Linked DNA regions of Macaca mulatta. The protein of the gene in region 6 purifies or fractionates together with the protein of the main gene of each other region. This does not show direct contact. Links are inferred from orthologs where the notes say so. Each region holds a gene or a part of one and is shown on either strand. Other genes may lie near its edges. The genes, in order: ACLY, BAG2, DNAJC7, DNAJB6, HNRNPDL, STIP1 and CCDC117.

The links.
Region 1: the proteins of STIP1 (region 6) and ACLY fractionate together in Homo sapiens (co-fractionation; 3 studies listed by BioGRID, with this or other methods). This does not show direct contact. The link is inferred for Macaca mulatta from reciprocal best matches to the Homo sapiens genes STIP1 and ACLY.
Region 2: the proteins of STIP1 (region 6) and BAG2 purify together in Homo sapiens (affinity purification with mass spectrometry; 3 studies listed by BioGRID and IntAct, with this or other methods). This does not show direct contact. The link is inferred for Macaca mulatta from reciprocal best matches to the Homo sapiens genes STIP1 and BAG2.
Region 3: the proteins of STIP1 (region 6) and DNAJC7 purify together in Homo sapiens (affinity purification with mass spectrometry; 4 studies listed by BioGRID and IntAct, with this or other methods). This does not show direct contact. The link is inferred for Macaca mulatta from reciprocal best matches to the Homo sapiens genes STIP1 and DNAJC7.
Region 4: the proteins of STIP1 (region 6) and DNAJB6 purify together in Homo sapiens (affinity purification with mass spectrometry; 3 studies listed by BioGRID and IntAct, with this or other methods). This does not show direct contact. The link is inferred for Macaca mulatta from reciprocal best matches to the Homo sapiens genes STIP1 and DNAJB6.
Region 5: the proteins of STIP1 (region 6) and HNRNPDL fractionate together in Homo sapiens (co-fractionation; 3 studies listed by BioGRID, with this or other methods). This does not show direct contact. The link is inferred for Macaca mulatta from reciprocal best matches to the Homo sapiens genes STIP1 and HNRNPDL.
Region 7: the proteins of STIP1 (region 6) and CCDC117 purify together in Homo sapiens (affinity purification with mass spectrometry; 5 studies listed by BioGRID and IntAct, counting the BioPlex papers as one, with this or other methods). This does not show direct contact. The link is inferred for Macaca mulatta from reciprocal best matches to the Homo sapiens genes STIP1 and CCDC117.

Annotation. Positions count from the first base shown.
Region 1 is NC_133421.1:66,241,810-66,245,821, reverse strand, and holds part of ACLY (ATP-citrate synthase), read left to right. Parts: intron 1-455; coding exon of another isoform or gene 456-468; coding exon 469-707; intron 708-1,146; coding exon 1,147-1,226; intron 1,227-2,656; coding exon 2,657-2,787; intron 2,788-3,591; coding exon 3,592-3,710; intron 3,711-4,012. UniProt on the Homo sapiens protein: Catalyzes the cleavage of citrate into oxaloacetate and acetyl-CoA, the latter serving as common substrate in multiple biochemical reactions in protein, carbohydrate and lipid metabolism.
Region 2 is NC_133409.1:125,106,672-125,109,974, reverse strand, and holds the end of BAG2 (BAG family molecular chaperone regulator 2), read left to right. Parts: intron 1-1,260; coding exon 1,261-1,673; 3' UTR 1,674-2,485; downstream 2,486-3,303. UniProt on the Homo sapiens protein: Co-chaperone for HSP70 and HSC70 chaperone proteins. Acts as a nucleotide-exchange factor (NEF) promoting the release of ADP from the HSP70 and HSC70 proteins thereby triggering client/substrate protein release.
Region 3 is NC_133421.1:66,356,425-66,360,922, reverse strand, and holds the start of DNAJC7 (dnaJ homolog subfamily C member 7), read left to right. Parts: upstream 1-1,391; 5' UTR 1,392-1,415; coding exon 1,416-1,492; exon of another isoform or gene 1,493-2,112; intron 2,113-3,149; exon of another isoform or gene 3,150-3,273; intron 3,274-3,552; exon of another isoform or gene 3,553-4,256; intron 4,257-4,498. UniProt on the Homo sapiens protein: Acts as a co-chaperone regulating the molecular chaperones HSP70 and HSP90 in folding of steroid receptors, such as the glucocorticoid receptor and the progesterone receptor.
Region 4 is NC_133408.1:196,808,571-196,813,265, reverse strand, and holds the start of DNAJB6 (dnaJ homolog subfamily B member 6), read right to left. Parts: upstream 3,057-4,695; 5' UTR 2,928-3,056; intron 1-2,927. UniProt on the Homo sapiens protein: Has a stimulatory effect on the ATPase activity of HSP70 in a dose-dependent and time-dependent manner and hence acts as a co-chaperone of HSP70. Plays an indispensable role in the organization of KRT8/KRT18 filaments.
Region 5 is NC_133410.1:51,379,977-51,384,668, forward strand, and holds the start of HNRNPDL (heterogeneous nuclear ribonucleoprotein D-like), read left to right. Parts: upstream 1-1,724; 5' UTR 1,725-2,249; coding exon 2,250-2,692; intron 2,693-3,489; coding exon 3,490-3,658; intron 3,659-3,756; coding exon 3,757-3,918; intron 3,919-4,390; coding exon 4,391-4,522; intron 4,523-4,689; coding exon 4,690-4,692. Other genes in the region: ENOPH1 (enolase-phosphatase E1), read right to left, coding at 1,027-1,110. UniProt on the Homo sapiens protein: Acts as a transcriptional regulator. Promotes transcription repression. Promotes transcription activation in differentiated myotubes. Binds to double- and single-stranded DNA sequences. Binds to the transcription suppressor CATR sequence of the COX5B promoter.
Region 6 is NC_133419.1:10,215,690-10,220,219, reverse strand, and holds the start of STIP1 (stress-induced-phosphoprotein 1), read left to right. Parts: upstream 1-1,336; 5' UTR 1,337-1,888; coding exon 1,889-2,020; intron 2,021-2,215; exon of another isoform or gene 2,216-2,306; coding exon of another isoform or gene 2,307-2,315; intron 2,316-4,530. UniProt on the Homo sapiens protein: Acts as a co-chaperone for HSP90AA1. Mediates the association of the molecular chaperones HSPA8/HSC70 and HSP90.
Region 7 is NC_133415.1:22,768,416-22,771,773, reverse strand, and holds part of CCDC117 (coiled-coil domain-containing protein 117), read left to right. Parts: exon of another isoform or gene 1-122; coding exon 123-260; exon of another isoform or gene 261-2,263; intron 2,264-2,401; coding exon 2,402-2,639; 3' UTR 2,640-3,358. UniProt on the Homo sapiens protein: Facilitates DNA repair, cell cycle progression, and cell proliferation through its interaction with CIAO2B.

The DNA.
Region 1 (4,012 bases), on a different chromosome or scaffold from region 6:
TGAGGCGGCTCCAGGCTGGGTCTTCTCCCTCCTGGAACCTTGGGTTTGTCTGCCGTAACATGATGAAAGAAGTCAAGCTGATGAGGACAGTCAGAGGGACCAGGGTCCCTGAAGCTGCACTGAGGATCTGAGGGTGCTGTGGACTCAGGAGTCCAGAGGGGAAGGAAAGGACTTGGTCTGCAGCAGGGAGGAGTTAGGACTGGTAACAAAGGGGACTTCCCAGCGCAGGGATGAGAACGACCTGCAGGCGGGCCCCATTCCTCAGCTGGAGTCACACTGATTTAGTCTGGACCATCAGCCAGTGAGTTAGTGGCTTCTTCTGCTTATCCTTGGGGAAAAGATGGTAGACAAGTCTCTGGATGAATGTTTTTTACTGGGTTTTAGAAAATGAGACCATGGGGATTGGTTTCCTCTCCCAGTACATGGTAGACCCCCCCCCATCTTCCCCAGTTCAGTGCCCCTCACCAGCTTCACCCCCCAACCCCAATCCCACTATCCCGTCTCTTCACCTGCAAGGCGGAGGAGTTCTATGTCTGCATCTATGCCACCCGAGAAGGGGACTACGTCCTGTTCCACCATGAGGGGGGTGTGGACGTGGGTGATGTGGACGCCAAGGCCCAGAAGCTACTTGTTGGCGTGGATGAGAAACTGAATCCTGAGGACATCAAAAAACACCTGTTGGTCCACGCCCCTGAAGACAAGAAAGAGTTGAGTAAAAGGGACGGTAGGGAGGTGGCAGTTGGGATGAGAAGACTGACAGGCTCTGGGCATAGACCAGGGAGAGCAGAGTGGTCTCCTCTCTGGGTGTCAGGTGGTAGGCACAGCCCTGTCTTGAGGAAGACAGCTGGATGCAGGGCGGGGACTGGCTCGCAACCAGACTGAAATATGCCGCCAGCATCTCTCACCTCCTTGCCCCTGTCTGTCTGACACCTCTGCCTCCAGCTTCTCTCCTGACAGCTCCTTTCCGCCTCAGTGGCTGAAGAGCGATGTCCAGGGAGCAGGGGTTGCAGAGGAGATGGACGGGCCGGCGGGATGCGTGTCGGGAAATGGAGCTGTCAGTGGCAGTGAGATTGCTGTGGGATGCCTGGGGTGCTGCCGAGCTGCTCCCTGATCGATGAACTGTCCCTCTCTCCCTCCCACCTCTAGAATTCTGGCCAGTTTTATCTCCGGCCTCTTCAATTTCTACGAGGACCTGTACTTCACCTACCTCGAGATCAATCCCCTTGGTAACTGGGTGTGCTAGGCTGGGAGGGGGCAAGGGTCCCAACCAGACTCCCACTTGCTAGAGGGCAGCACAAGACAGATGTGCACAAGCGGAGGGCTTCCCATGCTCATTTAGTGCCAGTTCCTGTTTCTGAGCTCTCAGAAGACTGTAGTTCTCTTAGTCAACTCCAGCCTCTCTTTGGTCTTAACTTGCTCTGAAGTGGGGAAGTCCTGTTTTGTTTTGTTTTGTTTTGTTTGTTTTTGAGACCGTCTTGTCCTGTCGCCCAGGCTGGAGTATAGTGGCACAATCTCGGCTCACTGCAACCTCCACCTCCTGGGCTCAAGCAGTTTTTCTGCCTCAGTCTCCCGAGTAGCTGCGATTACAGGTGCCCGCCACCACGCCCGGCTAATTTTTGTATTTTTAGTAGAGACGGGGTTTCACCATGTTGGTCAGGCTGGTCTTGAACTCCTGACTTCAGGTAATCTGCCTGCCTTGGCCTCCCAAAGTGCTGAGATTACAGGCGTGAGCCACCACGCTCGGCCAGAAGTCCTGGTTTTGATCTGACTGTGTGCTGCTGCTCCTCATGCCAGGTCAGGCTGTCTGACAGCAGGAGGTCGGCAGCCTCTGCACTGCTTTCACCCTCTGGCCCTTCATTCTTCCTGGTGCACTCAGAGGCCCCACACTTGCCTCCCTCTGTGGGAGTTGGTCAATCATTAACCCTTGACGCTGGGAAGAGCTTGTTCTCAGCCTCTTGGGATGTGAAGGAAGCAGGTGGTGTTGGGGGAGAGTGGCGTGGGCTGGCTCTGGCCGGGACTTCTCAGGGCAAAGTCCAGGAAGGCGAGAAATCAAATCATTCTGGCTGAGGATGCAGCCCCTCTAATGGACCAGATGGCCTTGTGCTAACTCAATCAGCTAAATGGCCCTGGGGGAGGAGGAAGATGGGTGTCCAGTGAGGTAGTATAAACGAATCCTGCTGACTGAGAGTCCAGTGCACCCCGCGGCTCCTGCTCCACCTGACACTGTGGCTTCCCCTAGCCAGGCCCTGGGAGACATAGATGTGCATGCCGGTGGGGGGGTCTTCTGTCAGCAACAGGTGCCTTTAAACACTTTTAAAAAGTGGCCAGACCATGGGTTTGCGCATGGTTAGATATTCAAAGCAGGGAGTGTGGCGTTTTGTACAGATGTTTGAAAATTGCCATGGCAACTAATACAGACCTCCATGTCCCATTACCTGTAGGTTAGGGAGAGGGAAATGGCCTTGTAGAATTTGTTTTGCCTTTAATGGAGAAACGCTCTGTCTCCATAAGGGCCACTCTGGTTTCTTATTGAGCTTAGAGAGTTCTGAGGCCTGAATGGGCCACCATGGGAGCGGTGTTTGTGGAGGGGTTGGAGGTTGGTGGTCGTCTCTATCCAGAGCCAGTGTCTGATGGTTGCCTCTGCTCCCCCTTGAAGTAGTGACCAAAGATGGAGTCTATGTCCTTGACTTGGCGGCCAAGGTGGACGCCACTGCCGACTACATCTGCAAAGTGAAGTGGGGTGACATCGAGTTCCCTCCCCCCTTCGGGCGGGAGGCATATCCAGAGGTAAGGCTGGTTTAGAGAGGAGATGGGGACTGGGGGGAGGGCGGTGGGGAGGTGACTCATCTCTGATGTGCATTTGGCCCCCCTTCATGAGCTGTTTATTTGGCAGGGAAAGGAAGACCGAGAAGCATTTAATTTTCTTAAAACCCCAGTGGGGTGGGGGTGGGGGTGAGCCAAGCCTCTGAATCCCAGCCAGAAATCCTTTTAGATTTCTCTCTCAATCAGCCTCCCTCGACTCTTCACTTGATTTGTTGCCTCTCCGTGATTCCAAGTGGCTCCCCCTAATCCTGACGGAAGGTCGTTCTCTCGGCTTCTCACTGGGAGTTTTAATTGCTCTTTCCCACTCTGTCCTCTGAGAAGTCTTCACAGCAGGGTTGGGCTTTCTGGGAAGTACCCCAGGCCCAGGGAAGAGGCTGGGCTGGGAGACAGTCTGGCCTGGGGAGTCCTGGGGTGGTGGGGGACATGTGATGGGCTGGGCAGGCAGATGCTGGGGTGAGGTCACGGTTAAGCAGAGGGACATGGTGAGGCTCAGGACTTAGGCAGAGGGCCAAGGACTTGACATCAGAGAAGGGAGATGGGAAGTTTGTCCCCAGGCAGTGACTGTGACTAAGGGTGGTTTTGGTACTTGGAGATGCCATCAAGTGTCTTCAAGGCATGTGGGGCCCTGATTAGCCCCTTTTTCCCACCCCATTAAAGTGATTAGTGACCTCTTCGTGTGCCTCCAGGGAAAGCGGGGAGGGATCCTAGGATCTGGGACCTGGTAAAGGGGGCACCCCGAGGGCCTACCTGTTGCTCTCTGCTCCCCAGGAAGCCTACATTGCAGACCTAGATGCCAAAAGTGGGGCAAGCCTGAAGCTGACCTTGCTGAACCCCAAGGGGAGGATCTGGACCATGGTGGCCGGGGGTGGCGCCTCTGTCGTGTACAGGTGACTGAAGGGGGTTGCTGAAGAGAGGCCAGCCCAGCTACCCAGCATCCACATGTGTGTGGCCTGGGGGGTGGGGTCCTGCCACTTTGGTGTGGGAATTTGGGGCAGAGGAAAGCAGTGGCATCCCAGAGGGCTTCGAGGGATGATGGCGAGGGCCTGCCCTGCTCTCAGTGTCTCCTATAACTTTCTTTTTTGTGTCAAAATGAAGCTGTTTTGAGTTTTAATTGTGAAAATTGTGTGCTCCATACAAAGGTACAGCAAATATAGAAAATGAACTAGAAAGTGAAAGTTGCCTGGCCATT
Region 2 (3,303 bases), on a different chromosome or scaffold from region 6:
AATGGAAGCAGAGAAGTAGAGACCAAAAAAAAAAAAAAAAAGATGAATTGAGGTACAACATAAAGAGAGGGACAAAATGCAGAGAAAATGAGGAAACTTGTAGGACCAGTAAAAGGCATGAATGTAAAAATGTGCTGTCATTTTCTTTTTTCTTTTTATGAGATGGAGTTTCACTCGTCACCCAGGCTGGAGTGCAGTGGCACGACCTTGGCTCACTGCAACCTCCGCCTCCCGGGTTCAAGTGATTCTCCTGCCTCAGTCTCCTGAGTAGCTGGGATTATAGGCGCCTGCCACCACACCTGGCTAATTTTTGTATTTTTAGTAAAGACAGGGTTTCACCATGTTGGCCAAGCTGGTCTCGAACTCCTGACCTCAGGTGATTTTGCCTGCCTCGGCCTCCCAAAGTGCTGGGATTACAGGCATGTGACATCACGCCTAGCCTGTGCTGTCATTTTCATGTGAAGAACATGTAATAGGTAGGAATAGGTCACTTGTGATTTTCTTTTTATTGGCACTGGACTTCCTACTTGGGCTCCTTTGGTGCCACACAGGCCACATGTTACTGGGCCAAGTGACTGGTGAGATAAGTAAGCAATCTAAATCCAGATCAAAACTGTTACACATCTATGGTAGGCCATGATCTAGTCTCTACACTGTCCTGCCCAAAGATCAATGAATTAGGAAGTTACAGAAGCAGGAGATTGCTGACTTTTTCATATAAATAATGAAATGTTGATAGAGCTCCTCATGCCGGTCAAGACTTTAGACCACTGTCCTGTTTCTATCTGGAGAAGCATGAAGTCAGTGCCTAGTATTGATGCCAGCTTATCTTCTATCATGGCTATATTTTCTCAACCAAAATTTGGGGCAGTGTATTCTGATAAATGCACATGTCGTTATGGAGAGATCTGGGACATCTGATCTCTGGAGCTGTACCCAACATAAATCCTATATGTGCTTACTGCTCAAAGGGTTAAGACTTGATCTCCATCCCAGTTACAAATGCATACCTACCCAAACTTTTGCAAACATGCCAATTTGAGAAGTCATCTAGTATCCCATATATAAAGATTGTCAGGAAATGGTATTCTACAACCTCTCTCTGTAATCTAATACATTTCATCAGTTAATCTTACATGCTATAATTTTAGCTTGTATCTTTAAAAAAATTTCATAGCAGATACTTAATACATTTAGTCACAAATGCCTTAATGTTCTTGACACAGATAAGTTTATGTCTCATATTGATTGACATTTTAGGAGAAAGAGAAGAATTAAATCTGACTGCAAACCGTTTGATGGGAAGAACTCTCACCGTTGAAGTGTCAGTAGAAACAATTAGAAACCCCCAGCAGCAAGAATCCCTAAAGCATGCCACAAGGATTATTGATGAGGTGGTCAATAAGTTTCTGGATGATTTGGGAAATGCCAAGAGTCATTTAATGTCGCTCTACAGTGCATGTTCATCTGAGGTGCCACATGGGCCGGTTGATCAGAAGTTTCAATCCATAGTAATTGGCTGTGCTCTTGAAGATCAGAAGAAAATTAAGAGAAGATTAGAGACTCTGCTTAGAAATATTGAAAACTCTGACAAGGCCATCAAGCTATTAGAGCATTCTAAAGGAGCTGGTACCAAAACTCTGCAACAAAATGCTGAAAGCAAATTCAATTAGTCTTCAAACCCAACAGCATTTACACAATACACATGGTGTAAAAATGATAAAATACTATTTTAATTGATAACTAGTTCTTTATGTTAGATATAACCACTTAGTTGATACTGACAGTTGTTTCAGATGAGGAAAATATTCCATCAAGTATCTTCAGTTTTGTGAATAACAAAACTAGCAATATTTTAATTATCTATCTAGAGATTTTTTAGATTGAATTCTCATCTTGTACTAGGATCTAGCATATTTCACTATTCTGTGGATGAATACAGTTTGTGGGGGAAAACAAGTGTTCAGCTAGGGGCAAAAGCATCACTGCTTTTTCCTGTGCTTTGGCGTGGAATCACGCAGTCACCTTGGGCATTTAGTTGACTAGAAATTCTTTACCTTAAGCAGCACACACATTTACTACACACAGTGTTAACAAAGCACTGTGCTTAGAGGGATAAAAAGGAATCACAAAACAACAGTCTTTCCAAAGTTGTCTCATTCCTCAATGTTAAGGCATCTATATCAAATTATTTTGGATGTAAAGATTCCTGTGTCTCATAATATGAATGTATTTTTTGATATACAAGAAACTATGACATAAAATGTGAGAAAACCACCTATAATTTGCCACTGTGAACAATTATATATCTGCTTCATCTTTTCTCAAATGCATCAATTCTCTAGAATTCCTATATTGTAACTTGCCTTTTTAAAAAAGTTAGATGCTGATATAAAGCCTGCTTGTCAACTTAATGAGCTCTATTTTGTGTAGTTATATCTTTCTTTATCCATTCCCATCTTACGGACATTTAGGTTGCTTCCAGCTTGTTGCTATTACTGCAACATATTTTTGTACGCAGGGCTTTTTCCTTCTTTTGTTTTCAATTTTCTCTGTATAAAGGCCCAGCAGTGAATTATATTGGATCAAAGGGTATAGACATTTTCATGGCCTCACACACTTATTAAAAATTTTTTGTACAAAGGTTATAGCAATTTATACTTTTTTCAGTAAATAAAATATAGCTATTTCACTGAACTCTTTCCAGCACTGAGCATTAACACTTAGTTTGCATTTTGTTTACTAAAAAGGTTGACCAGTGTGTTGATTCTTCTTTTATCTGTGATAAAGTGAAGCAACTAGAGAACACTTATTTGTTTAAAGTAACTAGTCCTGTTGATATAAACGCAACAACTTCCCTAGATACTATTTTGAAATGAACACATCAATTTTTATTTCAATGTAGGTATTCTTCACACTGAAAAACCAAATCAGGATCCAAACTGATTTTATATATGTCTCTCTCTCTCAATGCAAGCAATATTGAACTTCTTTTTCTCTACAAAAATGCCAAGTTAGTCTCTTTATAAAAAGCAGTTAAAATCTGAAGACATTTGTGTTACTTCCTTTGCCAGCTCCAACTCTGCCTTATTTAAATCTTTCCATTTCATGGGAAACATTAATTCTATCTATGGCAAAGCCACTTGGTTTGTTAGCAGACTCTGATTTGCTGTCATCAGGCTGTGAGATGATTTTTTTGTGTGCATCATTTTTTTCTTGACCAGCTTTTTGAAAATTAAGAAATGGATAGTCAGGTTTTCTTCAAGTTCTCAAGTATTGTCAGCATTCGTAAATCCCTTCCAC
Region 3 (4,498 bases), on a different chromosome or scaffold from region 6:
GATATGCAGCTGTGGAAGCTGAAGAAAGGTCTAGGTTGGAGATATGTAGAGTTGAGAGTCATCAACAGATGGAAGTAAAGCTGTGGGAATAAATGAGTTGCCTTAGAACATAAAGTGGGAAGATGGTGAGACAGGTTGGCTAGCATTAGACTGGACTATGAGCCACTGACAGGCAGGGCAGGTGGTCTGTAAGTCTTGTGCCCTCACAACCTAGCACAAAGTAGGCGTTTTGGAAAGGGCTATTGAGTGATTGGCTCAACGAATGACCCCTCCTTTCCAACCTAGTAAGCTTGTCCTATCCCTCCCTACTCAGTGGTCGCTGTGGTTTCAGTTCCCTCCACACTGGGATAGGCAGGGTAGGAGCATTGGCACATGCTGTTTTCCTGGAAGAAACAGGTAAATCCTTTTAAAAATTCCTTTGCCCTCTTCTCATTTTAGCTACTCTTAGCTTTACATTGTAAAGCTACTCCTAATACGCCTCCAATTTAACCCCAGAAAGCTCCAATTCAATTCAGCTCCACAAATAGTGGCTTGGGTGAGGGAATAACAAGACAATTAAACTGTGCCCTTGTCCCCTGTGAGTTCTCAATCCAGACCGCATTCGGCAAGACAAGCGTGATGAGTAGAGAGTTTATATAAGAGGTAGGAGTAATGGGGACACAAGAGCAGGGACCTCACCCAGCGAGCTTCCTTATAAACTCCAGGGCAGGGTCTGGGGCGCCATGTGTCAGCTTTCCTAGGCTTAATGCTGAGATGGCACTCCCAGGCGGCTGACATGAAAGCAGCCTCGTAAAAGGGTCAGCGTCATTAGGGTGATGAACCAGTTGGTGTTTGGAGATCCGGAGTGGATGAAAGGCGCAGGATGAAGACGCCCTACGTTCCCCTGGCTTGATTGGGTAGGGCTTCCAGAGAACGATGAAAGCTGGGGGAACTGGGCTCAGAGTGGCTCTTGCCTTTCCCGGGAAGAAGCTGTGAACACACTCCAAGGTCGGAAAGGTAGCAGTGGGGACTCTTTCCCTACAGTCTTGGGTCACCTGGTCCCCACCCAACCCAGACTCCACGGAGCCTTTAAGGAAGACTCTCTAGGATTGGAAGTTGCTATGGCAACGAGGCTCTTGGAATACTGAAACCAATCAAGCCCTAGAGAGGCTACCACCCGTACACCTCCATTCCCATCCACGGGTAAAGTGGCGCCGCCTACGCACAGGCACAGTCCCTGGGCTCCCGCCCCGGCGCGGAGACCACCCTGGACATCCGGGGACGGGAGGCCGCTCTGGCCCCAAGCGGAGCCTCTCTCTGGTAGACGAGCCCGAGGGAGCCCTTCTGGGCGAGGCGCCGCTGAGCTGCTCTATGCTCCAACCGGAAGTGCTCTTCACCGCCGGCCTCCCACCCAGCTCTCTGGTCCCGGCGGTAAGATGGCGGCTGCCGCGGAGTGCGATGTGGTAATGGCGGCGACCGAGCCAGAGCTGCTCGACGACGAAGAGGCGAAGAGGTAACCGGGTAGCAGGGTAGTAGAGGAGGCAAGCTGCAGCTCCGTGGCTCAGGGAAACCCGTTCCTGCCATGATGCAGCCCCCAGCTGTTGAGGCGATGCCCCGCCCTACGCAAACCCCCCCCCAATCTGAGATCAAGGCCGGATGGACCCCCTGAAGGGGCGCTCTTGGGGGTCGGCCTTCCTCTCCCGCTTCCGCCTGGCGAAGGAGCTGAGGCATGGCCTTCTTCTCCAGCTGAGAGGACGATCGTCCTTATAGGAGAGCCCGAGTCTCGGAGGGCAATTTCGGAGGTCTGGTGCGAGGGGGGGGGGGCGGCGCGGCGTCGATGACGACTTCCTTACATCGCCCCTGACTCCCTCCTTCTCGTTAACTTCTGTGCATTGTTGCCTGTCTGCACTTTCCATCTCTAAAACCTTTGCTCTCCTCCCCCCGTTTTCCTTTTCGATCACTAGTCTGGGTTCGAGGTGATTGTGTGTCTCCATAATTGACCTGGTTGCCCCCGGTTATCCCAGAAGTCAAGGATGATAGAGAAAAAGGGAAGAGCGAGGGGCTTATCTCGTGTTCTCTGTGTCAGACTCCTCTTCCCCTATCCTTCCTGGGTGATCTTTATCCTTCCCAGCACTGTTCTTTCTTAAGTTAAGCACCAAGGAAGAGGGCAACTGCTTGGGCGCTGTTGGCACACCGAAGCAGCCGCAGTGGTTCGAGACTGCCAGTCGGACTAGCCAAGGGAGCTGCTGAGTGAGTGGTTTTCGAGAACGCTCTAGATTCTGGCAACAGGCCAGATTATTGGAAATGGGGTTGGGACAGAGTTGTGGGTAGTCATACGTGTTCTAATACTAAAGCAGAATTGACAAGAAGGTTCTAGAAGTTTGGAGCCCTTTCCTTATCAGCTGCAGGTTAATCTGACCCTTTTGTTCAAGATGCCTACAGTGCCCTCAGTCTTATTCCCACATACTTTATATTTTCATACCAAGCCCGTTATGTCTTCAGGCTGGGTAATTTGAGGTGGTGATGTAGAATTAGTTCATGAGATCTGAAATCAGGATTCTGAGATTTTTACTATCTGATGAGTTAGAAATATAAGAACGGAGGCCATGAATAGTTATCAAGCTTGAAGGTTGTTACCACAGCCAGTGTCTCAAGTTCCTGATCTGTTGGGAGCTGGGGGGCCTGACAAAGTGTAATAGGTCCCTGGGATATCAGAGAAGCCAGGACACCAGAGTCCAGTCTCTGTTCTTAATTTTGAGCTTTCATGTTGTTCCTGCTTCTTTCTAGATATTTAAAGTTAAGCATCATCAACCCTTATACATCATTAAAGAGCTGCAATGGGAAACAAAATTTCTCCCAGTGCAGACAGAGCTTAATTAATTGTAGAGAGTTACTTGGATTTGGAAAGAGTTCAGTGTTTCTTTATATTATAAATAGGGATTTGGCCATAGGTAATTTATTTATTTATTTATTTTTAATTTTTTGAGACGGAGTCTCGCTCTGTCGCCCAGGCTGGAGTGTGGTGGCATGATCTCAGCTCACTGCAAGCTCCGCCTCCTGGGTTCACACCATTCTCCTGCCTCAGCCTCCCCAGTAGCTGGGACTACAGGTGCCCACCATGCCCGGCTAATTTTTTTTTTTAATTTTTTTTTATTTATTTTTATTTTTAGTAGAGACGAGGTTTCACCGTGTTAGCCAGGATGGTCTCCATCTCCTGACCTCGTGATCCTCCTGCCTCGGCCTCCCAAAATGCTGGGATTACAGGCGTGAGCCACTGCACCAGGCTGGCCATAGGTAATTTAAAAAATTCATCCTACTCATTGTCAATCTCTGATGTAGAGTGTCCCTATTTTGGACTTCATTTCAAAACCTCCTATCTAAAGCAAATACATTTCTTCAATCACAGCCTTAGAGGATATTCTATCATAAAATTGGAGTAAATGAACCTGAAGACGCATAATAAAATAGGTTATGCTGTAATGTGACCACATCACACAAAACATGGTATTTTATAGCAGTACAACAAAATAAGGTAAACTACCTTATTACTTAAGTAGCCTGTAATCCCAGCACTTTGGGAGGCCGAGGCAGGTGGGTCAGCTGGGGTCAGGCGTTTGAGACCAGCGTGGCCAACGTGGCAGAACCCTGTCTCTATTAAAAATACAAAAATTAGCTGGGCGTGATGGCACGCACATGTAATCCCAGTTACACAGGAGGCTGAGGCAGGAGAATTGCTTGAACTCAGGAGGTGGAGGTTGCAGTGAACTGAGATCGTGCCATTGCACTCCAGCCTGGGTGACAGAGTGAGATTCCATCTCAAGAAAAAAAGTCGTTGATTGCAGAATGCAAATTATTTTATCTGTCACTAAGAAAATATAACTATAAATTAAACATGACAACATGTATTATCCCTGTAGTTCAAATAGTGAGAGAAAAAAATTAATTAAAAAAGGAAAAAGGCTGGGCGTGGTGGCTCACACCTGTAATCCCAGCACTTTGGGAGGCCAAGGCAGGTGGATCACCTGAGGTCAGGAGTTCGAAACCAGCGTGACTAATACGGTGAAATCCTGTCTCTACTAAAAATACAAAAAGTAGCCGGGCGTGGTGACGCACACCTGTAATCCCAGCTAGTCGGGAGGCTGAGGTGGGAGAATTGATTGAACCTAGGAGGTGGAGGTTGCGGTGAGGGGAGATCATGCCATTGCACTCCAGCCTTGGCAACAAGAGCAAAACTCCATCTCAAAAAAAAAAAAGTTACATTAAAAAAAGAAAAAAATGCATTCTTATCAGACTTTTATGTTTCTCATATATAGCACTCTTTTCGACAGAATTAAACATGTTTATTATATACCACTTTTGTGCACAAGTCAAAAGGAAAATAAGGCTGGGCGCGGTGGCTCACGCCTATAATCTCAGCATTTTTGGAGGCTGAGGTGGGCGGATCATGAGGTCTGGAGTTCAAGACCAGCCTGGCCGACATGGCGAAACCCCATCTCTACTAAAAATACAAAAAATAGCT
Region 4 (4,695 bases), on a different chromosome or scaffold from region 6:
TCCTCATCAACACATATCCGTAAGCATTAACCAATATAGAAGCTGACCTTTACGGCAGACAATAAGGTGTCTGTGCGGTCCCGCGGTGACAGTACACAGCGACATGTTCAGGATGACTAAAAATACCTGCCCAAGTTTTGAAGTGCCCTCTTGTTAAATACTCTTAACAGTGACGGCCGGACGAGGGGGCTCATGCCTGTAATCCAGCACTTTGGGAGGCCAGGGCAGGTGTATCACCTGAGGTCAGGAGTTCGAGACCAGCCTAACAACATGGTGAAACCCCCATCTCTAATAAAAACACAAAAAAATTAGCTGGGTGTGGTGGCGCATGCCTGTAATCCCAGCTACTCCGGTGGCTGAGGCAGGAGATTCGCTTGAACCTGGGAGGCGAAGTTGCAGTGAGCCAAGATGGCGCCATTGTACTCCATCACGGGCAACAGTGAAACTCCATCTCAAAAAAACAAAAATAAAAAATAAAAAAAAGGGCCAGCCGCGGTGGCTCACGCCTGTAATCCCAGCACTTTGGGAGGCCGAGTCGGGTGGATCATGAGGTCAGGAGATCAAGACCATCCCGGCTAACATGGTGAAACCCCATCTCTACTAAAAACTACAAAAAAATCAGCCGGGTATGGGGGCGGGCGCCTGTAATCCCATCTACTCGGAAGGCTGGGACAGGAGAATGGCGTGAACTTGCAGAGATCGCGCCACTGCATTACAGCCTGGGCAACAGAGCAACACTCCGTCTCAAAAAAAAAAAATGTTCAAACATACCATCCCACCCCCACCTCAGACCTGGATTTGGGTTACCTAGGTGGAAAACTGATGAAGGTGATGGGTACCACTATTCGTTTGAAACTGTCCAAATCAGTTAATAGAAAGGAATTACAGACTTGCTTAAAAATGAAAGCTAATGTATGCCACTTAGTTACAGGTATCACACTGTAATACCATATCCTTATTTCAGTCTTTACAATATTCAACAATACTCACCACCTAGTGTTCCGGAAAAACTGTCCTACAGCCAGAATTACTTCCCAAACCTAACACTTTCATATCCAGAAGAAAATAAGTTTTAAAACACTGATGTTTTGAAGAGAGTGTTGAACTCATCTCAAATTCTTCAAGAGCTTTGCCCTCTGAAATTCCCAACTTTCTCATGTTCCACAGTACAGACTAAGCCTAGTTAGGCATTTTTCAAAGGTTCTCAATCCTTTTGTTCTCCCACTTCCTGTCAAGTCTCCACATCTACCAATTTAAGGCAACTTACTTCCCAAATTTCACATCCAGAATAATCCATAAACACCCACAGCTCATTAAAGTGTGCATAAAAAATATTCACCCCTTTATCACAGAAGGCAGAAAGAAATGTGAAAGAACCAACTTCAAAGGAGCTTAAGGCTCTCAGAAGTGGAAACAAGTCTGCAGTCGGCCGGGCGCGGTGGCTCACGCCTGTAATCCCAGCACTTTGGGAGGCCGAGGCAGGCGGTTCACTTTAGGTCAGAAGTTCGAGACAAGCCTGGCCGACACGGTGAAACCCCGTCTCTACTAAAAATACAAAAATTAGTCGGGCGTGGTGGCGAGCAGCCGTAATCCCAGCTACTCAGGAGGCTGAAGCAGGAGAATCGTTTAAACCTGGGAGCTGGAGGTTGCACTGAGTGGAGATCGCGCCACTGCACCCTGGCCTGGGCAACAGAACAGACTTCGTCTCAAAAAAAAAAAAAAAAGTTTGGAGTAAACCCAAAAAGAAAACATGACGGATGGACAGGTGGAGTAGTAAGGTGGATGCATATAATTCCTTTCAGAAACCATGAATCGTTCTGATATGCAACATTATTTGGAAAAGTGCGGTTAAACACGAAGCAGCAGCAACCAAGATTTAGTAGTTAAAGTCTGTTTACTTTCCTTTCTTCGGTCTTTAGTCTTAACTTTTCTACTAAATCAATAATTTGGCTTAACTTGTAGCCACAAATCCTTACTAAATTCGCAACTCATATTAACAAAAACGTTAAAAATTACAGAGAGCTCCGCTCAGCCTACTCTTCCCCAACAGGCTGAAGCCTCTGAGCTCGCAGGCGGCATCCCTTCGGTGGTGGCACGATCGTTCTACTCGGGCTACTTCCTGCCTCGTTTACGTGAGAAAATTAGTACAGAAGTTTACGTCTGACTAGAAAACCCATCCTTTTTAAAAAATGCGCTAGCGCCAAAACCTTTCTCGAGCCAACATACGGTTTGCAGTTTATACTTCGTGTGTCACTGACCTTCCTCACTTGGGTAAGAGTTAATATAAACTTGTTACATAAACTTCAGTTGCATCAACTACGGTGCAGATTCTTTAACGCAAAGCAAAGCAGACAGACGTTCTGAATAAGAAACGCAGCCTGCTCTTCCACAAACTTCTCAACAATCCGTCCGGAGTTCTAGAAACAGGGCTCTGCGGTCCACCACCTGCTTCTTCTCCCTCCGAACTTGGCGGCACGGCAGCGGCATTCCCGCTCCGCAAGCCACTCGCGTTTCTGGTTTCAGACTCGAGGGAAGGAGCCTTAGAAAGAAGGCGCTCCACGCCTCCCACGCTGCCGGCCCCGCCGAGCCCCAGCCGAGCCCCAGCCGGCCGCTCCCAGGCCGGGCCCCACCCCCAACCGCCGCCGCGGAGGCCGGGCCGCGTTCCGGCAAGGACGCCGGGCGGGGAGGACGCGGCCGGGCGGCCCCAGCCCCCAGCCCCGGCCCCGGCCTCGGCCCCAGACCCAGAGGACGCCGCCCACCTTTCGCCCCGCAACCCCGGCCACGGCCCCCGCCCCTTCCAGTACTGCCCCGACCGGCGACCCCGGTCACCCCCCACGCTGTTGCCAGGAGCCGGGTTAGGTCCGCCGTCTGCCGGGCGCGCGCAGGGCCCTAGGCGACCTCCCCCGGCCCTCGAAACAGACTCTCACCGAGGACGGAGGCGGCTGGTGGCGGGACGCAGGGGAGGCGGGGTGACTGCCCGAATCTCCTCACAGCTCCTGCACTGCTGCGCTGGTGGTGGCGGCGTCTCCTCGCGCTTTCCTTTCTCTCCTTTCTCCGACAACAAACAGGAAATGCGTCACGCGGCGGCGGCACAGCGACGTTAACTTCCGCCCGGCCCTGACGCCGCGCATGTGCAGTTTCCACTGCCCAAAACGCGGGCCCAGCCTCGGAGGCGCCCGCCCCGCCTTCGCGAAGGTTCTCGGCTCTTCCGCCGCCCCGAAGAGGCCGGGAGACTGGGGGCGAAGGGGAGGGGAGGGGAAGCCCAGGGCGAGAGGGCGGAGCTCGGGGCCGGGTCCACCGTACCGGGGAGCCCAGAGGCGCGGACGGCGCAGAGAAGGCCGAGAAGATTCCAAACGGCACTGATTGTTCTGGGCGAGAAGGAGCCCATTCTGGAAACCGCGATGTCGTCGCGCCCTTCATCTTCGGCCGGCGGCCTCCGGAGCGCGTCCGCCGCCTCTCGCCCCGCGGTCCTCCCGTGGAGCTGGGTGGCATCTCCCCACAGCGGGACGAAAGCTGGGGCGCGGGCGCGGGCGGAGAAGTCCTCGAAGGGGAGGAAGAAGAAATCAAGCGGCGGCCAGGGAAGGCAAGCGAAGGCACCGGCCCCCGCTCGTCAATTTAGGGAAGGCCTGATACCCTAAGTTCCCCGGCGAACGGGAGTGCGTGGAGACTTCGCCGGGGAATAATGATGGAAGGAAATGGAAGCAAACTGTGGCCGAAAATACCGAAGAAGCTTTTTAGATTGAATCGTGGCAGTTGTTTCCTGAAAACGGGCCGCACTTTGATCGCTGGACTTGAGGTCATCCCCAGACTCGCGAGCCTTTCCCGCGTCCGCAGGGGTTCTGGTTCTAACCCTGGAGGTTAATACCACACGCGTGCAGATGGTGACTAGCGGGAGCAGGGAACCTCAGACCCCGCGCAGTCAGACAGGCTTTCATTCCCAGTAACGAAAGGTCCTGTAGATCCAAAGCCTAAAGAGGTCAACAAGCAGTTCCGTGCATGGAGCCTGGCCTGGATCTCCCACTGTCTTGTCTCCAGCACTCAGCCAGATGTTTGCTACTGTGTTGTCTTCGTAGCCCACCTTATCCTTTCCTTTAAGAAATAAAAATGCCAACCTGGTGTGGTGGCTCACGCCTGTAATCCCAACACTTTGGGAGGCCAAGGCAGGTGGGTTACCTGAGGTTGGGAGTTCAAGACCAGCCTGACACAAGGAGAAACCTCGTCTCTACTAAAAATGCAAAAAAAAAGTTAGCCAGGCGTGGTGGCGCATTCCTGTAATCCCATCTACTTCGGAGGCTGAGGCAAAAGAATCGCTTGAACCCAGGAGGAGGCGGTTGCAGTGAGCCGAGATCATGCCATTGCACTCCAGCCTGGGCAACAAGAGCGAAACTCTCTCAAAAAAAAAAAAGAAAAAGAAAAATTCCTTTTTGTCACACCTTTCCTGAACTTCAGATCCTGTGGCATGCTGACGCTGAATTCCGGGGGCCTGCTCAGCCACCTTCTGAACAATGCTTATGAATTCGTGATCATTTAAGCCTGGGAGATACTCAAAAGACACTTTTAACACTTGAATCACTTTTGGTTTATAATAGCTGGTTAGTAATGAAAGAGTTGGAGAAATGCCACCCCGAATTATGCCGTGTTAAGATACCAATTACTAACTAGTTCACTGATTACCACGTTAGTATGCCCTCAAAC
Region 5 (4,692 bases), on a different chromosome or scaffold from region 6:
GCCTCCCGAGTAGCTGGGACTACAGGCGTCCACCACCACGCCCGGCTAATTTTTTGTATTTTTAGTAGAGACTGAGTTTCACCGTGTTAGCCAGGATGGTCTCGATCTCCTGACCTCGTGATCCGCTCGCCTCAGTCTTCCAAAGTGCTGGGATTACCGGTGTGAGCCACCGCACCCGGCCTGCAATGAATTCTTAAACCTCAGGGAGCCAAATAAAAAGACAAGGCCTGAGGAATTCTTTCAAAAATTAAAGTAACATTTCATATTTACTTATTCTAACAGACAAAGAATAAAGAAGGAATCCGCTAAGTTGTAAGCTGAGGTGCAGACAAGTGCTGGTTCACAATGACATCCTAGAAGGAACGCTCTGGATAAGAGCTTCAAGCTTCTACGGTTTTCTGAGGAAAGTGAACGGAATCTAAACGTGTCCTATCGCTCAAAAAAAATCAGCGCTGTGGACCACAGAGCCTAACAGAGTAAAGTAATACAGCGTGCAGTTTGGCCACTAACAGCAAGAGTGGGAAGGGGCAAAGAGGAACCTTGATTGCCCGACACCAGGGCCACCTGAAGACTCCTCTTGACACTTCAGTCTTTCCATTTTGAGATTAGAAGCTTCAAGGACCATTAAATCGCTGCCGCTGCCACACCAGGCCCGACGGAGCAGAAAGGCTGCGCTCACCGGCGGAAGCGACCGGGTGCACACCTGCCGGGTAGGGAGGCCCACACGGTCACACCCCGCCCCGGCTTACCTGCCCTTCGGCGATTTTTAGCTTCAACTTCCATCCCTTCCCACCCATCTGGATCCAACCAAGCCCAAGGGCGGGGGAGGGAGAAGCTAGTGCCGCGAGGAAAAGCATCCCCGCCACCCGCCGCAGGCTTTCTCTCCTCCCTCCCCATTCCACAGAAGAGGCAAAGCCACAGCGCCTCTCCTAACCCTCGTCTCTAATGCAAGGCCTGCAATACTTAGAAAAAAATAATAACTGTTTTTAAGGAGAAGTAACATCCCCGCTCCCTTCCGCCCCTCACCTTCACGAAAGCAATCGGGGTTGTGGTACCTTCGATATCTAACAGGATCACGGTGACTTCGGCGGGGACCGAAAGCACGACCATTTCCCTTCCGGATGCTACGGGACTCGGCCTGCAGTCGGGGAGGGTGGAGGGCGGCGCCGGCTGCGGCTGCTGCCCCCGGTACCGTCCTGGGCTTCCGACGGCCCCGCGCGATCTTGGAGTCAGCGACCAAGTGCAGCCCGCCGCGCGTAGGGAAGAGAACACCTCTGCACACCTGGCACTGGAAAAGGCGGCCGCCCAGGAGCCCCTGAACTCGTGAGCAGGACGGGGCAGGAGCCCGAGACCACGTGGGCAGGAAAAGGGGCGGGCCGTGCTGGGTTCGGCGGGGCGGGGTGCGAAAGCCCAGCGCCAATTGGTCGCCGTCGGGCCTCGAACGCGATCCGTCAAAATGGGCCTCGCGTGGGCGGGAACAAAGAAGCGAACGCGGGAGCAGGATGCGCGAGAGCGCGCCCTCCGCAGACAGGTTGAGCGAGCGGGAGAGGCCCGGGGCACGTGCAGAAGGGAGCCCCGCGAGTGGCGCGCCGGGGATGTGAGTGCCCCTTGCCCTCTACTGCATCCAGCCCCCTCCCCGCCCACCGCCTCCGTCCTTGCATAGATACAGTCATCTGGCCAGCCTCCGCCCCTCCTCCCGGCCTCAGCCTGCCAGAGAGGCCGCGCGGGGCTCGGGCTTCGGCCGATCAGCCAGGAGGCCTCGCTGCGCCCCCTCGGCCCGCGCGCCCGTGGCCACAGCGGAAGAGACGCCCGCGCTGCGCTGTCCGGAGGGGCCGTCGCGCGCCCGCTTCCTGTTCGGCTGGTTCCTGCCAGCTCGAGGACAAAACACGCGTGCGCGCGGCGGGCGAGCGCGCTCGCCGCCTCAGTCGCCAGCGCCGGGCGCAGTCCGCCTTTTTCCGGAGTAGCCCGGCCGCGGTGCTAGTCGGTAGCAGCGGCCGCCGCAGCGGCTCCGCACTGGCGAACCGAGGGCAGAAAAAGGCGGGGTTCACGGCTCTTTGGTAGGAGTGGGCTGGACCGGACGCCAGAGACAAAGGCTCCCAAGGCAAGAGGGACTGTGGCCTTGCGTCGGCTCTGTTCGGGACTGCTGACCCCAGGACTTTACGCCCCTTCGTTTTTCTCTTCTGATTCTTCTCTTCTCCCAAGCCCGCGTCCCCTCACGCGTGGCCTCTCTCCTTGCCGGGAGGGCCGCGATGGAGGTCCCGCCCCGGCTTTCCCATGTGCCGCCGCCATTGTTCCCCTCCGCTCCCGCTACTTTAGCCTCCCGCAGCCTCTCCCATTGGCGGCCGCGGGCGCCGCGGCAGCTAGCCCCGCTCCTCCCTTCACTCGCTCCCAGCTCCGCCCGGCAGGGGGCGCGCCGGGCCCAGCGCCACGTCACCGCCCAGCAGCCCTCCCGATTGGCGGGCGGGGCGACTATAAAGGGAGGGCGCAGGCGGCGCCCGGATCTCTTCCGCCGCCATTTTAAATCCAGCTCCATACAACGCTCCGCCGCCGCTGCTGCCGCGACCCGGACTGCGCGCCAGCACCCCCCTGCCAACAGCTCCGCCACTATGGAGGATATGAACGAGTACAGCAACATAGAAGAATTCGCAGAGGGATCCAAGATAAACGCGAGCAAGAATCAGCAGGATGACGGGTACCGCACGCTTCTTCCCCCGCTCCCCCTCCCCCAGCGCGCCGCACGCGCCCTTCGTCCCTCGTGAGCCGCGCGCTGCCCCCATTCTTTCTCAGAGTCGATTCCCCGCGTGCCCTCTGGGCCCCACTAGCTTGGAGGGAAGAGGAAAGTAAGAGATCGAGGGGGTGACTGGAGAGACCCGGGAAGAGTGGGGGAAGGGCGGAGGGGTTGGAGGAGGAGGGCGGCGGCGTCTCTGTCCCGAGCGCGCAGGCGCCGCGTGGGACCCGGGGGGGAGGGGCCGGCCTCCCAGCGCCGCTCGCTGCAGCTGCCGACGCCTCTTCATTGTGTGTCTGTTACCACTCGGCGCGGTTTTCCTGGGAAGAGTTTTAGAGGACTCTGAGTTCGGGCACAAGCAGGCGACTGGTACCCAGATTCACAAAACGTATTATGATTGATGAGTTCTCTGGGTGGAACGTTGGCTTGACAGCTGAGGACGAGGATGGACCTAAGATAAGATGTGAGGGATTCATCTAGGAAGTTGGGCCTTGTAGCTGAAGCAATCTGGGCAGAACCTTTACTATATTTTATTGGTCTCCTTTGAGTTTTGCTTTATGTAGTGCGGAGAGCGAGCTGTCCGCTGGTTTGAGTAACTTTGTTGGGATATTGGGATTTTTGTGTGAAATAGATTAAATGTAAACATGGATTAAATTGCTTACACTTAGGGGATAAATGTTCCTGTTTTTATTCTACGATTTAATTCCAGAACTGAAGGACCATTTGAGTTACTGTTAATTTTTTAAAAAACCTTTTATTTCTAGTAAAATGTTTATTGGAGGCTTGAGCTGGGATACAAGCAAAAAAGATCTGACAGAGTATTTGTCTCGATTTGGGGAAGTTGTAGACTGCACAATTAAAACAGATCCAGTCACTGGGAGATCAAGAGGATTTGGATTTGTGCTTTTCAAAGATGCTGCTAGTGTTGATAAGGTAGGAACTGTGTTTTGCATTGTGCTGCTTTTGTAGTGTTTTGCACATTTTTCTGGGGGTTATATGCTGCTGTCAGATTAAATAAATCTGTCTTGTAGGTTTTGGAACTGAAAGAACACAAACTGGATGGCAAATTGATAGATCCCAAAAGGGCCAAAGCTTTAAAAGGGAAAGAACCCCCCAAAAAGGTTTTTGTGGGTGGATTGAGCCCGGATACTTCTGAAGAACAAATTAAAGAATATTTTGGAGCCTTTGGAGAGGTGTGTGATTATGTTTACACATGTTAAGCTTGATGTGTTTATAAAATGTTTAATCCTGGTCCGATTTATACAGGGCAGATTCATGTTTCGTGTGAGGGTAGGATTAAATGACTGCTCAAGTCGCTTCCAGGGACTGTACCTTGATTTGATTGCTGCTCTGATGGAAACCCAACTATCTTAATTTAGCCAAAACATGGGCACTTAAATGTGGTCGGTGTTTGGACTTGTTAGTTAGTGGCATCTTTGGGGTACAAAATAATATTAAAGGATGTTTTACTTTTCTCTCAATGCTTCAAATATACAACAAATCACTGAAGGCTGATGTTGATCATAAAGCAGTGATGTCTGTATAGAAGTCACCTGATAAGAATAACATGTTTAAGTTGAAGCCTGAAAAGTACCTGTGGCATTCTGACACTCTGGTAGCATTTTACAATTATGGGATGACCTTGAGTGTGCATCTCGATTTCAGATTGAAAATATTGAACTTCCCATGGATACAAAAACAAATGAGAGAAGAGGATTTTGTTTTATCACATACACCGATGAAGAGCCAGTAAAAAAATTGTTAGAAAGCAGATACCATCAAATTGGTTCTGGGAAGGTAAAGCCATTTAAGTACTTTAAATGAAAATTTTAAGGATTTCTTTTTTCTTTATTTTTTTATCTTTTAGTTTTTGAAATTTCTCAATGTGTTTGAGAAAAATAAAATGATTAAATTTTAGAACTTGAGTAAAAATTCTATTTTCGTGTTTTTTAATTTGTTTATAGTGT
Region 6 (4,530 bases):
AGAGGGATCCTGAGAAAACTTAAGATCATGACACTCCTCTGCTCAAAACCTGCCAATGTGTTCGGGAGTGGCAATGGCCTCTAACCCTACAGGACCTGGCCCCTACTTCCTCTCGGCAGCTGTGCCTCCTGCCATCCTGGCTACCCCGAGGCAGCTCCCATCCCAGGGCCTTTGCACTGGCTGTTCCATGGGCCTGCAAAGTTCTCCCCCACATTTCCAAGGATCTCACTCCCTTGCTTTCTTTAAGTCTTTTCTCACCATGCCTCACTATTGAAAATGCAAAACCGCAGGGCGAAGTGCTGGGTCTGTAAACCCAGCACTTTGGGAGGCCGAGGCGGGAGGATCACTTGAGGTCAGGAGTCTGAGACCAGCCTGGTCAACATGGGGAAACCCCGTCTCTACTAAAAATTAAAAAATTAGCCGGGCGTGGTAGCGCACACATGTAATCCTAGCTACTTGGGAGACTGAGGCAGGATAATTGCTTGAACCGGGGAGGCAGAGGTTGCAGGGAGCCGAGATCGCCCCACTGCACTCTAGCCTGAGAGACAGAGCAGGAGTTTAAGACTAGCCTGGACAACACGAAGAAATCCGTCTATACAAAAAAATAGAAAAATTAGCTAGGCGTAGTGGTGCCTGCCTGTAACCCCAGGTACTTGAGAGGCTGAGGTGGGAGGATGGCTTGAGCTCAGGAGGTCCAGGCTGCAGGGAGCTGTGATGGCGCCACTGCACTTCAGCCTGGAGACAGTGAGGCTCAACTCTGTCTCAAAAAAAAAAAAAAAAAAAAAAAAAAAAAAAAAAAGCAGGCGGTTGGATTACACAGGCCCTGAACCCCACCCTAAAGCCTTCAGCACTTTCAAGTGAGGGATTACCAGGTTTGCAGGTCTGCAGCAACTTGGCTGCAGTGTCCAAAATGGGTGGGGCAGGTGGGATTAAAGATGAGGCTGTGGAGACAAGCTATTGGCAGAGAGGACACACTTTAAACCCTGGGAAGATGGCATTACCCAGAGAGGGGGAAGGATGAGGACACTGCAGAGCCCAAGACCATTGCCAGACCCGAGTCATGCGGCTCCTTTGTTCCAGGAACCACAGCTGACTCTAGAAGCAATAGCAGCATTTTCACTCCGCAGGTGCATCTCTTCCACGCTTTGGGGTGCCTGCCCTGACTCTGACTTCTGGGGCTGGGATTTAAGGCTCTACCAGGCCACAGCTAGCCAGCTCATAGGCGGTTAACTACCTGATTCAGCTCTTCGTCTCTTTCACTCCTTTACATCGGACTCACGAGGGCTGGGGGACAGCTCCCTTTCGCTAAGTACTTTCCGCGTGCTAAACACCGCACGAATTCCCCTCGGCCCTACAGGACCAAACGACTCAGAGAGGGTGTGCGGTTCCACTGAGGACGCCCAGCAGAACAGCCGCACCCGCCGCGATGAGATCCCCTGCCTGTCCAGCCCAAGCCCAAGCGCCCTCGCGGTCACGTGGCATTTCTGGAACCTAACAGCCAGAATGCAGGAGGGCCAGGCCGAGGCCGCAGCGCTGAACAACGCGCGCAACTGGCGGTCGAGGACCACGCAGCGCGACCGGCTAGGACCTCCATCTCGATGCGTGGGCGAAAGGCTGGGGCCCTGTGCCGCTGGCGATCCCGGGGACCGCCTGGAACTCGCGGCACTAGGGATCCAGATGGAAAGTAACCCACAGGCACCGCAGCCGCCGGAGACACGGCTACAGTACCGGACTACGGCCGGGACTGCCATATGCCACGGGCGGGGCGAAACCGGGCCTTTTGAAAGGCAGCGATTTAAACCAATCAGCGCAAAGGGTTGGCAACCCTCCGCCCAATTGGAATCGCTCTCATTCTGAAGGCGGTTCCGACTTGGAGTCCGGCAGCCCAATGGGAGAGGTGGAAATTTCCAGAACGAACGGAACCAATGGGCGCGGCCAGCGCTGCTACGATTGGCAGAGCAAAAGACCAATCTGTGTCGCAGAAGTCCGCTCCTCCCTCCGTTCGTGCAGCCTGAGATGGGTGGGTTTATAGAGCGGCGTCCAATCCTGAGGTGCGGGGGAGGCAGGGTTGAGGGAATCACTCCCCGCTGTCCAATGAGAGGGAAGTGGAGATGATGGGCTGGACCTCAAGCCAGTAGTAGAACAGCACAGACAGCCCCCTAGAAGTACTCGACCAGTGAGCAGGCGAGGAAGGGGCGGGAGCCGGGGTCCCGGCAGCTTCTAGTAGGTTCCAGAAGGCGGCGCGTGCGGTTGGGATCGCGGAGCGGACGGATTCGATTCAACGGGGTTCCGGGCCGCGCTGCGCTATGGAGCAGGTGAAGGGGGAGGGGCGGGCTGAGGCCCCGAGACCGCTCGGGGACCGGCGGAGGCCAGGCCCGCGGTAGGGGGCGGGGCGGGTGCCAGATCTGGGCGACCGGAGCTGGGTGCTGGAGCCGGACGGGGCGGCGGCGGGGAGGCGAGGGCCGCGGGCGGCGGGCGGGAGCGGGATCTGTAGAGGCCGGCCGCGGGGAGCGCCCATCGCCCCTTGGTTGGGCGAAGAGGGCCGGGAGGAGGCCACAGCTTGGGTGAGTCCGGCCGGCGGCGGGAAGAGGGGCCGCGACCGGGCCCTGAAGGCGTCCCGAAGGGGCTGCTGCAGGCTATGCTGGGGAGGGTGCGGGCCGCAGAGGGCGGGGTGGAGTTAGGCCAGGGGCCGGGGTCGGCACCCGCGAGGTAGCGCTCCGGGAGATCTGAGACAGCCGACGGAGAAACCGCTCGGACTTAGCCACGAGGAACTTGGACGGATCCAGGGAGCGGGGACGGGAATACACTGGGTCTTAGCAGCCTGAGATCCAGTTGGGGCAAATCTTACTCTTCTGCATCTGAGAATGTGAGGGTGGGAGAGCGTTGAGCGGGGATTTGAGGAGCTACAGACCGAGTGTAGCTGATGCAGTAAAGGGAAGGGTGCCGCAAAAGTCCTTGGAACGAATTCCATCTCTGACAGTGGTTTACAAATGTATTGCGGCCCCTCCCCCTCTTTTTGTATGCGTGTGTGTGATTGTCGAGTGACCGAGGACCGACACTTCCGAAAGGTGGATTTCTAGCTACACTGGGGCGGTTGTAGACAATTTGCAGAGATTAACCGCTAGAAGTTATGGGCCTCTGTTGAGCATTTGGGGGGCAGAGTTTGAAGCGGCTGCTGCTTCCTTTCAGTGACTTGGTTATGTCCTCAGTAGCTTGTGGTTGTGAAAGGCCTAGAGATTTTGTTCCATTGGAAGCTGTCATTGAGCTATAATGATTCATCGGAAGAAAAAGAACAAAACAACCTCCGAGAAACCTCTACCAACATCTGAGAAATCATCTGCTCGAGAGTACTACCCTCGTCGCTCCGGGCCCATAACACTTCGGGGTGACAGTTCTGAAACTATACCTGGTATTTGGTTCTTACTTCAGATCCATAAAACTAAGATTGCCCACACGCTCCCCTTAAGTAAGACATCTCGATGGACTAGTGACTACCACCCTTTTTTTGGTGGAGTTACAGAGCTGAGCCTTTGGTCTCTTGTAGCAGTTGCTGCTTTAGGCAAAGCTCTAGCTTCCTTGCTGTATTAAAAAGAGTGGAAATGAAGTTAATAAACTTTTTGTGCCCATATAATGCTTCAGTTGTATCTAGGATTAAATGGGCTGTATTATAGGTGAGGAAAAATTTTCTGGAATAAGACATTGCTCTTTTACTTTTAAGAAAGGATCTCGGCTGGGTGCAGTAGCTCGCACGTATAATCCCCAGCACTTTGGGAAGCCAAAGCGGGCGAATCACCAGAGGTCAGGAGTTCGAGACCAGCCTGGCCAACATGGTGAAACCCCCTCTGTAATAAACGTACAAAAATTAGCGGGGCATGGTGGCGCATGCCAATAATCCCAGCTACTGGGGAGGCTGAGGCAGGGGAATCGCTTCACCCCTGGAGGCGTAGGTTGCAGTGAGCTGTGATTGTGCCACCACACTCTAGTCTGGGCGACAGAGTGAGACTCCGTCTTGAAAAAAAGAGAAAGGACCTCTTTCTGCTGTTACCAAATTTATTATTTATTTTTTAGAGACAGGGTCTGGTTCTGTGGCCCAGGCTGAAGTGCACTGGTGGGATCATAGCTCACTGCAGCATCAAATTCCTGGCCTCAAGCGATCCTCCTGCCTCAGCCTCCTGAGTAGCTAACCACACGCCACCACAACTGGCTAATTTTTAAATTTTTTGTAGAGACAGAGGTTTTGCTATGTTTCCCAGGCTGGTCTCGAATTTCTAGGCTCAAGCTATCCTTCAGCCTTGGCCTCCCACTGCATGAGCACTAGGATTACAAGCGTGAGTCACTTTGCCTGGTCTTAAAATGTTTGTTTTTAAATCACCACCACCCATGGTAGAAGTGTATGTGCAGGTAGATAGATGGTGAATGAATATTTGACTTAGGACAGCAAACTGACATGGCGACTGTACAGATGACCTGGCATTTAACCCCAGGTGTGTTTGAGCCCACCATCTGGAAGCCATTCCTGAAAATAAACAA
Region 7 (3,358 bases), on a different chromosome or scaffold from region 6:
GTCTATTGCTGTATTACTTACTGCTTTTATCCTTTTGTATTTTTAAAATTTTGTCTAAATACTAGAATATATAATAGCTTGTCTAAATATTTTTTCTTCTGCTGATGCCTTAATTGATTTAGGATAATTGATGAAGATGAAGAAGTTGAAGCTGACAGAAATGTTAACCATCTCCCCAGTCTTGTCCTTTCTGATACCATGAAAACAGGTTTGAAGAGGGAATTTGATGAAGTTTTTACAAAGAAAATGATTGAGTCTATGTAAGTTTTGGTACCTGATTTCTATTTATTTATGATCTTGCAGGGAAAACCCAGTGTCTAGATTCTGCCCATCCTGTCCTCGTCAGCTCTTTTTATCTCCTGATCACCAGGCAATCGGAGATTGGCTTTTTCCTAGTTCATTGGGTTGAGCAAAGTGCTTTATAAGCAGAAGTTTGAAGTATGGGGAAGTGGCTGCCTTGCCTACTTACTCTTTCGTTCCTTTGAAGACCTAAAATGGACTGTAGTCTGCTATTTGGAAATGGGATGACTGGCAAGAGAGCCCACTCTCTCAAGTTCTTGTGATAGGATATAGGAACCACATTTCAAAGGCTCCTGTTTACCCGGCTTTCTAAATTACCCAGGAACAACATTGAGGCCTAGGAAACAAAAAAAAAGTGGCCCATCAGTGAAAGTAGTTACTGCAAAGACTGCAAAACAAAGCTCATATTCTTGGCTCATTAGCATAGTCCTTCCAGGCCTTTAGCAGAGCTGTTTTGCTTTTAATCTAAACACAGTTTATGAGCTCAGTTATCTGGTTTCCTAGATCATCAGAGTAGAAGCAGAAACAGCAAATGAGAGCAGAACAAACAAAACTTCTAACAGGGAGCTGTGACTACACTGTGAGGACAAGAGAGGAACCTGGAAAGCAAACACAATAACCTAAAAAGTAAAGTGGCCTGGGGCCTGTGAGTAATGATTAGCCCAGCCCTGTAATCCTGTAGTCCCTGAAGCCTCCATGATCTCAAATTGTCATTATTAACTATGTAAAATAGTAGGGAAGTTGGTTATAAAGTGCCATTTAGGTATTGCCTAGGAAAGACTTTAGATGGAGTTGGTACCCAATGAGGGCAAGTTTCAGGTATCTGAAAAAACTTCTTAGGACACCAGTCTCAGTGAGGCCAGATAGATGAGGCATTATTACCTTTGGATACAGGGGAGATGATTTGTGCTAGAAGTTCAGCTGCTATTTGGTCTTATCACAGAGGTTTTGCATTAGGGTCCTATCTTGAGCTTATAATTAACTACCCAGCCCTATGGGTGGGTAAATAGCCATAAGTAAGCTGGTCACGTTACCCTCCAGCCTAAAACATAGCACTTTCTGCTTTTGGTAGTTTTCCAGAAGCTAGCCTTTGGGGGTATTTCATTGTTTTGTTTTATTTTTGCTTCCTCTTTGGGCCCAGACACCATTGCTGCCACAGTGTGTGTATAACATAGTCATTTTGCCTTAACCGTGAAGCTTGTTTTGTTTTGCTTTGTTTTGTGTTTTGAGACAGGGTCTCACTCTCACCCAGGCTGGAGTGTAGTGTGGCATGATCACAGTTCACCACAGACTTGACCTCCCGGGCTCAGGTGATCCTCCCACCTCAGCCTCCCGAGTAGCTGGGACTACAGGCACCCAGCTAATTTTTGTATTTTTTGTAGAGACAGGGTTCACCACATTGCCCGGGCTGGTTGCAAACTCCTGGGCTCAAACCGTCTGCCTGGCTCGGCCTCCCAAAGTGATAGGATTACAGGCACAAGCCACCATGCCTGACCCATAAAGCATTATACTTTGTACCTGTACTAAAAGGCACCTGAGATACTTTCAGCATGTTTGTCCAGTGTTTCCTTTTCATTTATAATGATTTAGTATAAGCTAGCTGCCTACATCTAATATTAACCACAGTTTTAAAAAATTTCTAACAATCAAGGGCTCTGTGTTTTCACATTGGATTTTTAGATACTTCCCATCACAGCATCATTACATCCACTTGATTTGGTTAGATATACATGTTGAAGTGTGCAGTGTTATGTATTTGAGGGGCGTTTCTAAAGATCAGTTGGAGCCAGGCATGGTGGTAATGTGCCTGTAGTCCTAATTACTGGGAAGGCTAAAGTGGGTAGATTACTTGAGTCCAGGAGTTAAAGGCTGCAGTGAGCTATGACTGTGCCACTGTACTCCACCCTGGACAACACAGCAAGACCCCCATCTCTTTAAAAAAAAAAAAAAAAAAGAAAGTAAAGATCAGTTTGTGTGTTCTAAATATCCTGTTTTGCTGCCATCAGTCCTTAAGGTATTAGGTAATGTTGGCTTTTCAACCTATAGCTTTTGTTTTCATGTCCTAAAATTTTTTGATAAAAGTCTGTATTTTATGTCTTAGGAGCCGTCCTTCCATGGAGCTTGTTCTCTGGAAACCCCTCCCTGAACTCCTTTCTGATAAGCCAAAGCCATCCTCTAATACTAAGAACTATACAGGAGAGAGCCAAGCTAAGCATGCAGCTGCTGGCACTACCTTCCCTCAGAGAACTGAACTGTTCTTGGAATCTCGGCAACCAGGGATGTCTCTTTATAATAGTTTGGAGACAGCTACTAGCACAGAAGAAGAGATGGAACTCTAGAAACCAATTTCTACACTAAAGTTGTCAAATGTTAGAAGAATCCTGTGTTCAGTTATGAGACTCTTTGCATAGTATAGGGACTTGAAAGTTTTATGAAACGGGTGTAATAATATCTCCACCTGTGATTTGGGGGTGGGACTCTCATTTTGGGTAGCCATTTATTGACTTCAACTTTTTGCCAAGGAAGTTTGTCTCAAGGGAAAAGCAGTTTTCTGTGGGGCTTATTAAAGGAATGTTGGTTTACAGTTTCTTCGAAGATTACAGCCTCTTCAAAGACAAGTATAGAAGCTGTATGTGTAAGGGTGACTTAAATCATATATCACATTGTCTAAACTATTCAGACACTTGGAGAATATTCTCCTTGAATTCAAAAAAGATGATTAAGAAGGATGCTCCTACTACAGCTGTATCCTGACAGTTAAGTCACAGTTTAGTGTGTAGATATGAGCTGTTTACAGTGGTGCCTATATCTAATTGGGGAGGAGGGAAAAGAGCAGTAGCTTAAGCCTGTTGCTAAGAAATCTAATTTCTTAGCAACTTGTAATTTAGTTATCAATTCAATATAGCTCATTGATAGCCAGTAGTATTGTGGCTCTCCTCTTTGACTATGAAAATAATAGAGAAAGTTTTTCCTTCAAGGCTTTTTTGCCTTGTGCCACTGTTACTCCTTGGTTTCCCTTGCGTAATTGATAAGCCCAGTTATTCAGTAATGTTTACAA